Drosophila melanogaster: one gene and its partner. The protein of the gene in region 2 interacts with the protein of the main gene of each other region in a biochemical or structural test. Each region holds a gene or a part of one and is shown on either strand. Other genes may lie near its edges.

Region 1 (4,704 bases), on a different chromosome or scaffold from region 2:
AAATATAATTTATAGACATCCCCCTAATAATTAGATAGATATAAGTGACACTTGCCCGATCGATACTATCGCATCGCCCTAGCCGCTGGCAGTGCCATCGCTAGCAGTTCAGTCAACAATTTAAGTTTTTGTTTTTGTTGGCCAAAAACACAATACAATGTACACATTGATGCACGGCTTCTACAAATACATGACTCAGAAGGACGACTACTGCGTGGTAATCCTGGGCCTGGACAATGCTGGCAAAACGGTAGGCAGCTGAATCATCCAATGAAAGCCTCATGTCCAATCGGAAACTAACACCTGTGCCCACGTAGACTTACCTGGAGGCCGCCAAGACCACGTTTACGCGTAACTATAAGGGCCTCAATCCGAGCAAGATCACGACGACGGTGGGCCTCAACATCGGCACCATCGACGTGCAGGGCGTACGCCTCAACTTCTGGGATCTTGGTGGCCAGCAGGAGCTGCAATCTCTCTGGGATAAGTACTACCAGGAGTCGCATGGCGTCATCTACGTGATTGATTCCAACGACAGGGAGCGCATGGAAGAGTCCAAAGCGATATTTGGTAAGCGAAAACAGTCTTCGAACTAATCCCTTGAACAAAACTCGTTTTGATCTATTCTGATGATCTCTGGTAAAAGGAAAAAGGTTCACCTAAAATGTGTTATTCTCTTTCCCCACAGACAAGATGATCAAGAACGAACTGCTGTCCGGAGTGCCTTTGCTAATCCTGGCCAACAAACAGGATCTGCCGGATGTGATGGGCGTGCGGGAGATCAAGCCAGTTTTCCAGCAGGCGGGTGCTTTAATCGGGCGGCGAGATTGCCTCACCATTCCCGTATCCGCGCTGCACGGCGAGGGCGTGGACGAGGGCATTAAGTGGCTGGTGGAGGCCATCAAACGACATGCGGTGGTGCGGCCGCCGCGGGAAAACGATTAGAAGATCAAGCAGAAGACATCTGGGCCTGGTAGTCGGCCCTCCACTGGCTTTAATTAGACATGTACTTTTGTAAGTTAGGGGCTTAGGATAACGCTTATTTGTAATTAGCCAGACGAGATTGCGAGATACCAATTGTAAAGATGCGTTGTCATTATTTGCAAAGACCTTTCTTTTCGGTTAACTACTGCTGAGAAAATGAGGAAAACAATGTTAGAAAGCTGTGAGACTTCTGCATAGGACAACGAATTACAAATACTATTGTTAGAATAACAAAGAACGCAATGCTTATTAGCCAATTAAGTGCAAGAACTATAAATTCAGAAGTACTTGAAGATGTATTTGAAGAAGTACTTTGTTCTGTTAATAACCCAGATACATGGGTATTTGGATGCCAAAAATGTAATAAAACTGAATCCATTCGCAGCTGTTATGGTTAATCGTTAGCCACAAAGTGTGTGGGCGATTCGAGGTCCACCAAAATCGGGAGAGTCGCTTCTTTATCTAACAGCACTGCACTCGTAGTACACCTCGATATGGCGGTTGTCAATGGGGCTCCGCTTATCCGAACCGAACGACACCGAACCGCGGAAAGAAACAACCAGCAAACAGACGGGATTGTGGTGTTCTCACGGCGGGGGGAGCATTATTATTACCATTATCAGTCCGATAGATAAGTGCTGTGTGTGCCACCAAAAAGCAAAGGCGGAGGAAAATGAAAATGAACTAAAAACAACACCTGGTGAGTGGCACTGGAATCGTCAGTCTTCCGCAGGAGTTTCCACCGCTCGGACTGGAAATGATCGGCCGCCAGCAAGGGCTAGATAGCTAGACCTCGAGCCAGAGCTAGAGAAAAGAAGAGCGTTACCTGTTAATTATTAGTGTACATTAGATAAGGCCTATGTGAAGCACTCGCCGCTTATCGCTGCCATTCCCATACCCGAACGCGCTCCCGCTCCCATTCCATTCGGTTTAGTTCCGTGCTCCAGTGAGAAGCCACCATGTATCCGTATTACGAGCAGGACTGGAGCGTTCTGCCGCCGGAGAACAATCGCAGGTGAGATGAAATCCCGCCCGGTGCTCGTTCATACCCTTAAAGATTCGCCAGTCGATCTTTAGAAAATGAGACTTTTGAAAGTGTTTTTCAAAAATGACGTTATCGCAGTGTGACCGTCCATTGACCGCTCTGCATAGCGGTATTTTTTTTTTATTTGTGCTGTGGTGTGGCAAAAGAAAATCGTTGAATCACCCTGTGTAAATGCAATTTATTGTCCCCCTATTATCTCTTTTATTTTGGTAAAACTGCCCCTTCTCTACTGGCATTCCATGTGAGTTGTTGCGGTTCGAATGCAATGCCATGGAAATATAATTAAGTGCATCTTTTACTTTGATAAGGCAATCAAATTAACTGAACGAATATTAAACTCAAACTGTTACTTATCTCTCAGATAAACACAATTAATTTGTAATGATTTATGCCTCAGTCTTGATATTTTCCGTATAACTATTTGTTTGGTTGATAAATCATTGAATACCTACCCACTGTGCCATCAAATGCGCTAACGCCTATCAGCGCGAGGCGTTAATGCCTTTTGCGCACACTGCTTGTAAATATCGCGCTCTCGCTCGCACCCACTACCACTGTTGCGCTCATCATCAACATATTCTCGACGAAACATTTTTTTTTACTTGTTACGTTGATTTTGTGGCGTTTAAAATAGCGATTAACCAGCGCCAAGTTGGCCCAGCGAACATGTGCTAAAGCGTAAATGCAGTGCTAGAATAGGCATTTATTCAATTGCAGAATCATTCCAGTTAAAAGCGAAGGTGTGTGCGTGTACTTGCGACGACGGGCCGTGTGTGTTGAAATTTTTTTTTTAGTTTTTGTCGCGTTGTTAAATTTTATAGTTGAAAAAAGCTAACGTGTTTCCTGATTATTCATTAACAAAAAAAACGTAACGCCGCCAAGTGCGCGAATGCATCCAATTTGTTAAAACGGAAATGCCCGTTGAAAAGTGTGCCATAGATTTTCCTGCCCTTTTCTTGTTGGCCCAAAAGGCATGCATGAGTGTATATATGTGTGTGTGTGCGTGAGCAAGTGTGTGTAGGCCTTCCAGCGAATCGCATAAATTAGCAGGCGAAAAATCACATTGAAAACAAACGAGGAAAGCTCGCAAGAAAAAAACCCTACGTGTTAAATATATACTATAGGGTATATAGGAGTGACGTTATTTCATGACTTTTTAATGCAATCGATATGTATGTATGTATGTCAGTTATGCTATCGCTGGCAGCTGTTTTCGTTTTTTGCCCAGTTCACTTAATAAAATATTAAGTGGACATCAGTAAACAAGTTGGATTTTTCGGGCTTACTGCTTCTCCTTTTCCAATTGGAAACCCTTTGCGCGCGTATGAATGTCTCTATTAATGTGTGTGCGTGTGTGTGCATTAATCATTTAATCAATTTGCATTGCGCTCCAAACTAAAGTGAATAAAGCACAGTAATTTGTTGTTGCCTTGGCCAGAAAGAGAGATCAAACGTATTTGTTTGAGCCAACTCACACACACCCACACCCATGCACGCATCTGAGATGTCAGTTTCATAACAACAGCGATCTACTTTATGTCAGCGGTAATTGTACCTGCTTTTATTTAAACTATTCAGCTTATTTTTTCCAATTCCATTAGCTTGGAAAGAGAGCAAGCGAGAGAAGGATAGAGAGTAGGAGAGCAAGTGCAACAAAATAGCGGCCGGCTGTTATTCCCTGTGTGTGTGTGTGCGCGCGTGTGTGTGCGTTTGTGTGGGAGTGCAGGTGTGTGTGCGCGGAAGATCTGCAGAGGAAAAACCGTTATTTCGTTTCGCTAATTTGTGTTGTTGCCCCGCCGCAACAGCAACAAAAAGAAAACAGAAGAGCACATAAGCCGGCAAATAGTTAACAAAACCAGACGTAATAGAATATAATAATAATAACAAAAATATAAATAAAAATACGAACCAGTAAAAGAAGGAGCAAAAAAAAGGCTGCCACACAAGTGATTCAACGTTTCTCGTCGCCACAATGAACTCCGAGCATGGGTAGGATCCTAAACAGCAGTGCAAACATCCCTAGAATTATGCCCATATAAACCCATTTAACCTCTTCCTCCGGCAGATTTAATCCAGCCTTCAATATGGCCACCATACGGCAAGCATTCACAGAGGCGGTGGAGAGAGGTAAGTCCAAGACAGTGAACACCACTTGGTAGATTGCTCCAATAAGAAGATGATCGTGTGCTTGTGATCACCCAAAAGGTGGCTACAAGTACGCTGCACTCCTTATTCATTCAGATATATAGTTATAGTTCTATTAATGACCTGAAACGAAGGATACAGGCAGGGGTTAAGAGAGAAAGATCAGCGGCCAGACAGACAAAAACCCGATTAATTAACATATTCACATCCACTTCTCGCCCACAGTCAGAATGCCTACGCCCACACGCCTGCGCGACCTCATCCGACAGATTCGCGCCGCCAGAACCGCCGCCGAGGAGCGGGCGGTGGTCAACAAAGAGTGCGCCTACATACGGAGCACGTTCCGCGAGGAGGACTCCGTCTGGCGGTGAGTCATCTACACCCGGTTGCAATATACATATGTATATACTATATATATATATATATTCGCCCACAGCTGTCGCAACATTGCCAAGCTGCTGTACATACACATGCTCGGCTATCCGGCTCACTTTGGCCAACTGGAGTGCCTTAAGCTGACGGCCAGCACG
Region 2 (7,778 bases):
TGGGAGTTCTTCTATCAACTAACAAATCCTATTTCATATACAACACGTTAACTATGTTTGCTTGGTTAGTTCGCTTTCCTGTCGCTTGTTATAAGTACACAATATAGAAAAAATTCGCATCAGGCGGGTTGGGTTTTCATCCATGTGGTGGTGGTGGCCCGCAATCGCATTGGAGTATTTGTTATGGATATACAAAAGGGGAAGTTCGCCGCTAGTGGAATGCATTTGTAGGCTTTGCCGCAGGGATTAACTGATGATATTCCTCAGATAGGCGGAGTTTTCCGATTTAGGGTTCTAACTTTGGGGTTGATTAAAGCTAAAATCATCATGGAACTAATAGTTTTACATTTTTAAAAGTAATGCCGATTTTTTCCTTACTTGGGATACTTCCGAAATCCTTGTTATTAATTTGTATCTTTTCTTTTTTGGTCATCTATGATAAATCTTATGTTGTTATATTGATATGACCGCATAGAGATATTGCATGCTATCGGATGCATAAGCTTAAACCTTAAAATCTCGCAGGATTTCAGAAATATCCCTTAAATTACATAATTTCACTGGTGTGCGGTATTCTTTTTCGTTTTACTTTACAATTCTTCTAGAGTTTTTTGACTTATTTACCCAATAATTCGAATTCTAAAAGTATATCCGATCATTTAAATAATATTAGATAAAAACAAAGAATTTTTCAAGCATACTAACAGTTTTTTCGCTCTACAAAATATTATTTTTCAAAAGTATAATTTTTTTCGTCAAATTAAGTAAAACATAAATTTAGAATCAAACTATAGCACAAAATGGTTACTTGTTTGTTTCGTTCTAAATCCTGATTTTTACGCCTAAGACTACAACATGCATGCACAACAACAACAACAATTATGCCAACGACAAGGTTAACAACAACGACAACAACATGGAACACAGCTTGCCTCAAAACTACAATGTGTGACGGTTCGGATTATGGTGAATATCAGACGGATTCATAATACTGACTGGCTACCCGGGTGCGCGATCGATCCTTTCGCCTATGTGAGGATGGTGGCCTCGCCGCCACCCAGTGGGCGAGGAGCGCCCACATGCGGACGCTGCTGCTGCTGCTGGAGCCGCCCACCGCCCACCCTCAGCTTCTTGTGTCATTTCTTGCCACCGAAAGTGGGTTTCGGTAGCGCACCCATGAACGCACCAGCATTTGTGGGCAAGGCCGGTGCAACGAAGCTGAGATCGGGGATCAGGGAGATGCGTGGAGCCACCTTGGCGTTGCCGATTTGGAACTGCTGCCGCTGATGCTGCTGCTGGTAGGTGGCACCCACACCCAATCCTCCAGACACGGGTGCAGTCGAGAAGTCGTGCATGATGTGTATTTGCTGTGGAATGGCTGGCACATTGTTGTTATTGCTGCTGCTGGTGCTGCCCTTGGGCACTAGATTGCTATGAGGCTGTTGCTGCAGCTGCTGCTGCGCCTGGTACAAACTCAAGGGATTGTTGTAGAAATTAGCGCTCTGCCACGCACCGGAATTGAATTGTGGAGCCGGTCGTGCTGGCGGAGTACTGCTCACAAAATCCGACCAATCATCTTCTTTGGGAGCAGCTGGTTTCCTAGCGTTGCTGTTGACTATATTATTGTTGTTAGCAATTGCGTTTTGCTGATGATGCGGTTGCTGTTGGGTGACTGGAACAGAGACAAAGTCCGACCATTCATCGTCTTCTTGAGGCTGAGACTGAGCTGGCGTGGAAGGAGCTGGTTTCTTGGCCACCGAAGCGCTTATGGTGAGCGGTTTGGCCTGCGAGGAGAACAACTCCTCTATCCTGGCCATTTCCTCGGCATTTATGCTAGACAGAGCATTGTCGCCCCATTCAATAGTTGCAGCTGGCTTCTTTGCCAGCGGAATGGCTTGGGGCAGCAGAATAGCCGGACTAAGGATCATCTGTTCGCCAAAAGTGGGTGTATCAATTCGAGACCTTGGCGCCGGCATAGATTGAAAATCACTAAAGTCGTCATCTTCCGTCGTCTGTGGTGGCAACTGAAAGCTGCTGGCAGCTCCATTGCCACTCAGTTTGCTGGGCGAATCCAGACCAAATGGGGGTTTGTACTCCACGTCGCGATACTCCTTCTTCACCACCGTCTCATCGATGATAATGCCCGTCGCAGCCATCTCGTAGTCGAAATCAATGGGCGCTAGTGTGGTGGTCTTGGCCACCGCCGTATCCGATTTGGAGGGCGTATAGATATGGGTCTCCTTCAGCGGCACCGAATAGCTGGCCATCGAGCTGCCCACGATCTCCTCCTGAGCTGGCGCTGCGGCCGGAGGAGTGGTCCTCAAATCAAACTGCTCCGGCTCCGACCGCTGCTGATGCAGCTGCTCACCGCCGTTGAGTTTGTGGGCAGGGCTGTCTGCTGATAGAGTAGTCGGTAGCGTCGCTGCTGCTGCAGCAACAGCTGCTGCTGATGCCGCTGCTGTGGATTCAATATGGTTCGATTCGGGGCTGGGGACTGCAGTTGGCTGGTGGCTATGACTCGGTCGCTCTTCGCCGTCGGAATTGCTGGCGGAACAGGAGCCGGTGGAGCCTTCCCCATGAGACGGGCCAGTCCGCGTTTCAGTTTGGCTCGCCGTTGTTGCGGCGGCGTTTTCCAATCCTGTGCGAAGGAAAGAAAACAATTACTTGGCTGTCATGAATGAAAACTATGAGATAAACAAAGATAATTAATTAGTTATTCGGCTATAATCATCTGTTATGTTGCAGATAACTAAAAAAACACTGTGCTTATGAAAGATATGGAATGGATATGGATACTAATCTTGCATTAATCATTTTATTTTACTAGATACATTGTATCTTTTATAGAATCAAAGAAATCAGAAAATGGTTACATTTCAAGCATTACTTTTAGTTACCAGATTTAGCAACACATCAGATGATGGCTTAGTTTAGAGACAATATTTAGGTATTAGTATGATCAACTGTATCTAGCTAAGTAAAATGTGAAAATGAAGGGAACTCTTGGGCGGGCTTCAACTACTTGTGCTAGAACTGAGCTGGCTGAGATTGGATGCGTTGTGCCAAAGTAACAAGAACTGGGGGAACTGTGGATCGGTAGGACGGTACGGGTAGATAGAGAGATAGAGCTGAGAAGTATATAGAGAATCGAAACTGAACTGAACGAACCAAAAAAGAGTGGAGATTCAACTACAACACACGCACAGAGCCAACGAAACTTACTAAAATCCAGCAAGGCGTCGTGAGCAGTGAGGTTTGTGTTAATTGTTATTGTCATTGTTGCAGTATTTTTTGCATGATTGTTGTTAAGATTGTTGGGATTGTTATTATCGTTATTATTGTTGTTGCAGATGGTGGCAAAATGTGTGAGTGATGGAGAGTGGTGCAAATCGATTGTCAAATTGTGATCGTTATGGGTCATCAAATCCATCACAGGTGGCATACAATCCAGTTGATCAACGGGTGCAGCAACGTCGTTATCACCATTATCGTTGTTGTTATTGGTGTGGGAGTTAGAGGTAACAAGATTTATTTTATCAGCATTAGCCACCACCGTTAGTTGGTCTAGTTGTTCCAATTGTAATGTCTGTACATGTGATTCTAAATACAATTTATCGTAAGGATAAACTTTTTGATTGTTTGTTGAGATAGTTAGAAGTAATGTGGTCACAAGGAAAAACAAGGCAAACGAAAATCAATAAGAATATATAGAAAGGAGCAGCCAATCGAACGGCAGGCCAATCCGGGAAGCGTGTGTCAATAGGATCGGGAAATAGGCAACGAAAAGCGTTTGAAAGTAAAGCGAGCGTTAGGCGATAGGGTGGCAATTTCTCGATTTACGAAACTTGTGTAGCGGTTAATTTGCGGCAACTAAGTGGAGCAATCTCGCAGAGACTCTAAGGACACTCACCCTGGTAGCTGGTGGAATTGGAAATGGGCTCCAGGCTGCTTGCGGCGCCGGTTGATTGAGGTTTCAGCGGCTTCAGCGGATCAAAGCTCAGGTTGGCAGCAAAACGTGGCATCGATGAGTTCCACTTGTCGCCGAAGAGCTGGAAGTTTATGAATTTCAGTTATTTGAAATACATTTTGAAGCCCTATCTAACTTACTATATTCCTTGAATCGATGCCCAGCGATCGAACAAGGGCGTGTCTCATTTCCGAGCTGCTCCATTGGTAATCAAGGGCTTGGGCATGCTCTATGGCACCAAAATTGAATCGCTGGCACTGAGCCAAAGGCCTGCGATTGTCCATACTTTTGCTGTCCAGTTCCGTTGGTTGTGGAAACATCATATCAAGGACTGGCTTAACCCTTTCATCTATGCTCAGATGGACAGCAGCTGGCGGCGGTGGCGGAGGTACAGAAACAGGAGTCACTACGGGCGCGGCGAAGTCGCCAAAATCATCGTCGTCTTCGCTTTGACCGTGGTTTCCATTCGCAGGAGTGGCAAACTCCTGAAAATCATCGAAGCCATCATCGGTCTCTGCAGGAGGTAACTTAGAGGATTCTTCTGTGCTAGGAGCCGTCTTAACCTCTAGAGGTTGAGATTCCGTTCGGGAATTGATTGCTAAGGAAGGTGTCTCAAAGGCAGACGTTGAATTCTCCGTGATTTCTAGTTGGGGTTCTGCTGCTGAGAAATCCGCAAAGTCACCGAAGTCATCATCATCTTCTTGCTCTTGCATTTCGGGAACAATTTCTTTGTGTACTAAGTCTTTTGGCGTCGCATCAAGATTTGTAAATGAATATGTATCACTATTTGCTGGTTCACCCCATTGGTGAGGGGATTCCTCCTGATTTGGAGGATTTGATAAGCCACGGCTTTGATTTTCCATAGGCTTTTCTAAGGTATTTGAACTTTCCTCCTGGGCTTCCAAACTTCTAAAGCTTTCTTCTGGCTGGGAGGTATTCTCTACGTATTCTCCTTTCCCTGTATCCACATTCTCCTCCGAAAAGCCTTCTCCATATGGTAGGGTTGGAGTGGCCAATACCTCTATGGCAAAGAAATCCACAGCTCCCTCGCGTATAAATAGTTCTTTGGGCTTCTTTGGCGAGCACTCCTCGTCGCTGTCATCGGACACATCCTCCAGCGTGACTTGGTGGCTGAGGATATGGGCTTTGGTTGTTTGCATAGCCGGCGGAGCAACTGCACTAGTCTCCGCAACCGGTGAGAGTGTGGAGGCGGCAGAAACGCTTTCCGTGGAATAGAGACTTAGACTGTCCAACTTAAGGGAGGGCACATGCTCCTCCAGTTCCTCATCATCCAGTTCCAAGCTCAACGGAGGCGGCGTCGGCGGTGCTGTTTCCTCGAAAACATCGTAATCCATCTTCTGTTTCACCTGGTAATTAAATGCCTCGACGGTTTGTTTGTCTTCCAGCAAATCAGGTGGCTTTTCTCGAAATTCCTCCACGGGATCTGGTGGTGGAGGGGGTTCTAAAAAGCGAGAATTAACTGAGTATCACTTTGAGATTCGATAAATATCTAAGCTTGCCTTTCGAGCTGCTGACTAAGCCAAAATCTGAGTATTCGTCACCCTCGTCCAAATGGATGGTGGATTGTAAACCGGAATCGTCGTCTTCCTCACCAAAATCGATGGGCGGGGGGGTGCTGCAGAGCAGCGGTGGTACATTCACCATAATGCCAGCTGCAAAATTCAGTAAAAGGATCCCCTAAAATTCACTTCCTGCTTCAAGAAGAACAACAAAAACGCTGGGAACGGTTCGATCTTCTATCTCTCTCGCTCCACTTTATCACTGTGTGTGTGGTGTGTATGTGTGACGCAGGTGTGGAGGGCCTGCAAGTGTGTGTGTGTGTGTTAGCCACTCAAGGTCTGTGTTGGAATTTTCTTGTTTGCATTTAACACGCGTCAATTTTGTTGTGTCTCTGTATTATGTCTAATTGTCGCCTTATTGGTGGCTCTAAAAACAGATTTGCCGAATTTGCAAGTCGCGTTTTATCTGCAATTAGCCATGTTTTCCAGAAAACAATACTTTTTCCTCTGCCCACAGTGTGAACGTTTAACTTTTGGCCAACCGACAGTGCTGAAAAACGTTGCGCAACATTGATAACATACAAAATTTGAATCTTATCTTTTTCAATTCCCATTTTCGATTTAAATCATTATCCATAGTTCAGATAGAATAGTTATATTAGTTATATTTCTATAATAGATTTTTATTCTTTCCAATTCTTTTACCGTTAAAATTGTATTTGAAAATTATTAGTAACAAGAGTAAAATATACATGAAAGTCTAGGCTGCAGTATGTAATACGTCAAATTTTGTTGGGACACTAAACAACAAATAGTCGTCATAAAGGCTTCTTTTAAATTGTTATGATATTTTCCACAATTTCTGCATACTTTTTTAAGCTTGCTGGCAACGCCGCCACCGTACCAATACAACTATCGATAGCCGCCTGTCAGTTTTGACAGCTGTTTTAAGGTTATACTGCGCTGCCGTTGCAATCGCTCCACCAATTTGGTAATTTTGCTTATTTAACATCAAATATTGCATAAAACTAGGAAAACCAGGAATCTGTAAAGTGGAGCGAGACGGGGAACGCTATTAAGGAAGTCGGATAACTAAAGTACATCCTTTTCTTGCAGTTCACGGTCGGACAATTACATAACTTGAAGAAGAAACCATGTCGCAGGCTCCCGTTCGCGTTTCCCCGCTGATCAAGTTCGGCAGATGGTCCCTGCTCCTGGTGGGCATTGCCTACGGCGCCGCCCACCAGAGCCGCCTGTCCAAGAAGGAGGAGAAGTTGCGCGAGATCGAGGCACAGCAGAAGGCCGTCCGTGATGCCAAGCTCGCCGAGGAGAAGAAGCGCAGCGCAGAGGCTGAGGCCCGTGCCTTGGCTGAGCTTTCGAAGCCCACTCCCAAGCACTAGGATCCTTCAGGATGCAACATCCGCAGTTCCCTTAGCTTAAAAACATTGAAAAACCACAACATTTACACACGAAGTTCGCCCAAAAGGAGGAGCATCATCGATAGTGGAGCCACCATCTATCGATCACTGACTATCGTTTTTGTGTTTTCCTCTGATGCTTGTGCAAAAAACAGAATGTTCGAAATTAAATGATTGAAACAAAACCATTATGTAAATACTCTCAAGTGTTTCGTGTTTGTGATTAAGTGGTGTTCACTGGAAATATATTTATATTAGCATAGTGTTTGGATAGGAGAGGATTGAGAGAATTTGAGAGGGTTTGAGCTCCAAATTTGACTAGGAAGTACATATAAATATTTTTGCAAATTGATTATCAATAATTTTCCTAAATTTTGTTTTAAATCTTTTTTGATAAACAACAACTGATAGTTTACCTTATTGGATGCCCACTGTAGTTGCCAGCTGATTGGCCCACTTAAGATATTGGCGCCAACAGCTGATTTCAACCGGCGTTTATTTACACTTTCAATTCGCTCGCAAGTCGTCGCATGGCTCGGCTGTTTGATCAATAATCCCCCGGAATACTTCCAATTCCGGAGGTGTTGAGACACCTTTCGTGTTTCGGGGAGCCATTATATCACGCAATCCCATCGAGGACATGCCATCGCATCGCGATGACAAACTTTCTGGATCAATTGCCCAAGCATATCAGAGAAATCGCCGAGCAGGGTAAGAGTTTTGGGGTTCCAACAACTTTATTCAAGAGCCAACTAAATTCCTGTACTCCAGTTAATGTTCTCGCACCGGAGGAGGTGCTGACAACTCCCAAGGTGCGATTCCTGGACACCCGCCAGCAATCGCTGCACACAATCGTGCGAAAATGCACTCCGG

The links. Proteins that work in one complex are often made in the same cells at the same time.
Region 1: the proteins of Afti (region 2) and AP-1gamma form a complex in vitro, tested with the Drosophila melanogaster proteins (one study listed by BioGRID).

Annotation. Positions count from the first base shown.
Region 1 is NC_004354.4:9,106,988-9,111,691, forward strand, and holds the start of AP-1gamma (adaptor protein complex 1, gamma subunit), read left to right. Parts: upstream 1-1,703; 5' UTR 1,704-1,943; coding exon 1,944-1,999; intron 2,000-2,562; exon of another isoform or gene 2,563-3,000; intron 3,001-3,630; exon of another isoform or gene 3,631-4,001; coding exon of another isoform or gene 4,002-4,018; intron 4,019-4,094; coding exon 4,095-4,156; intron 4,157-4,399; coding exon 4,400-4,541; intron 4,542-4,610; coding exon 4,611-4,704. Other genes in the region: Arfrp1 (ADP-ribosylation factor related protein 1), read left to right, coding at 158-250, 318-570, 689-945.
Region 2 is NT_033777.3:14,320,650-14,328,427, forward strand, and holds Afti (aftiphilin), read right to left. Parts: upstream 6,041-7,778; 5' UTR 5,633-6,040; coding exon 5,488-5,632; intron 5,430-5,487; coding exon 4,108-5,429; intron 4,050-4,107; coding exon 3,911-4,049; intron 3,601-3,910; coding exon 3,223-3,600; intron 2,639-3,222; coding exon 1,137-2,638; 3' UTR 428-1,136; downstream 1-427. Other genes in the region: ATPsynE (ATP synthase, subunit E), read left to right, coding at 6,642-6,887; spn-B (spindle B), read left to right, coding at 7,562-7,616, 7,677-7,778.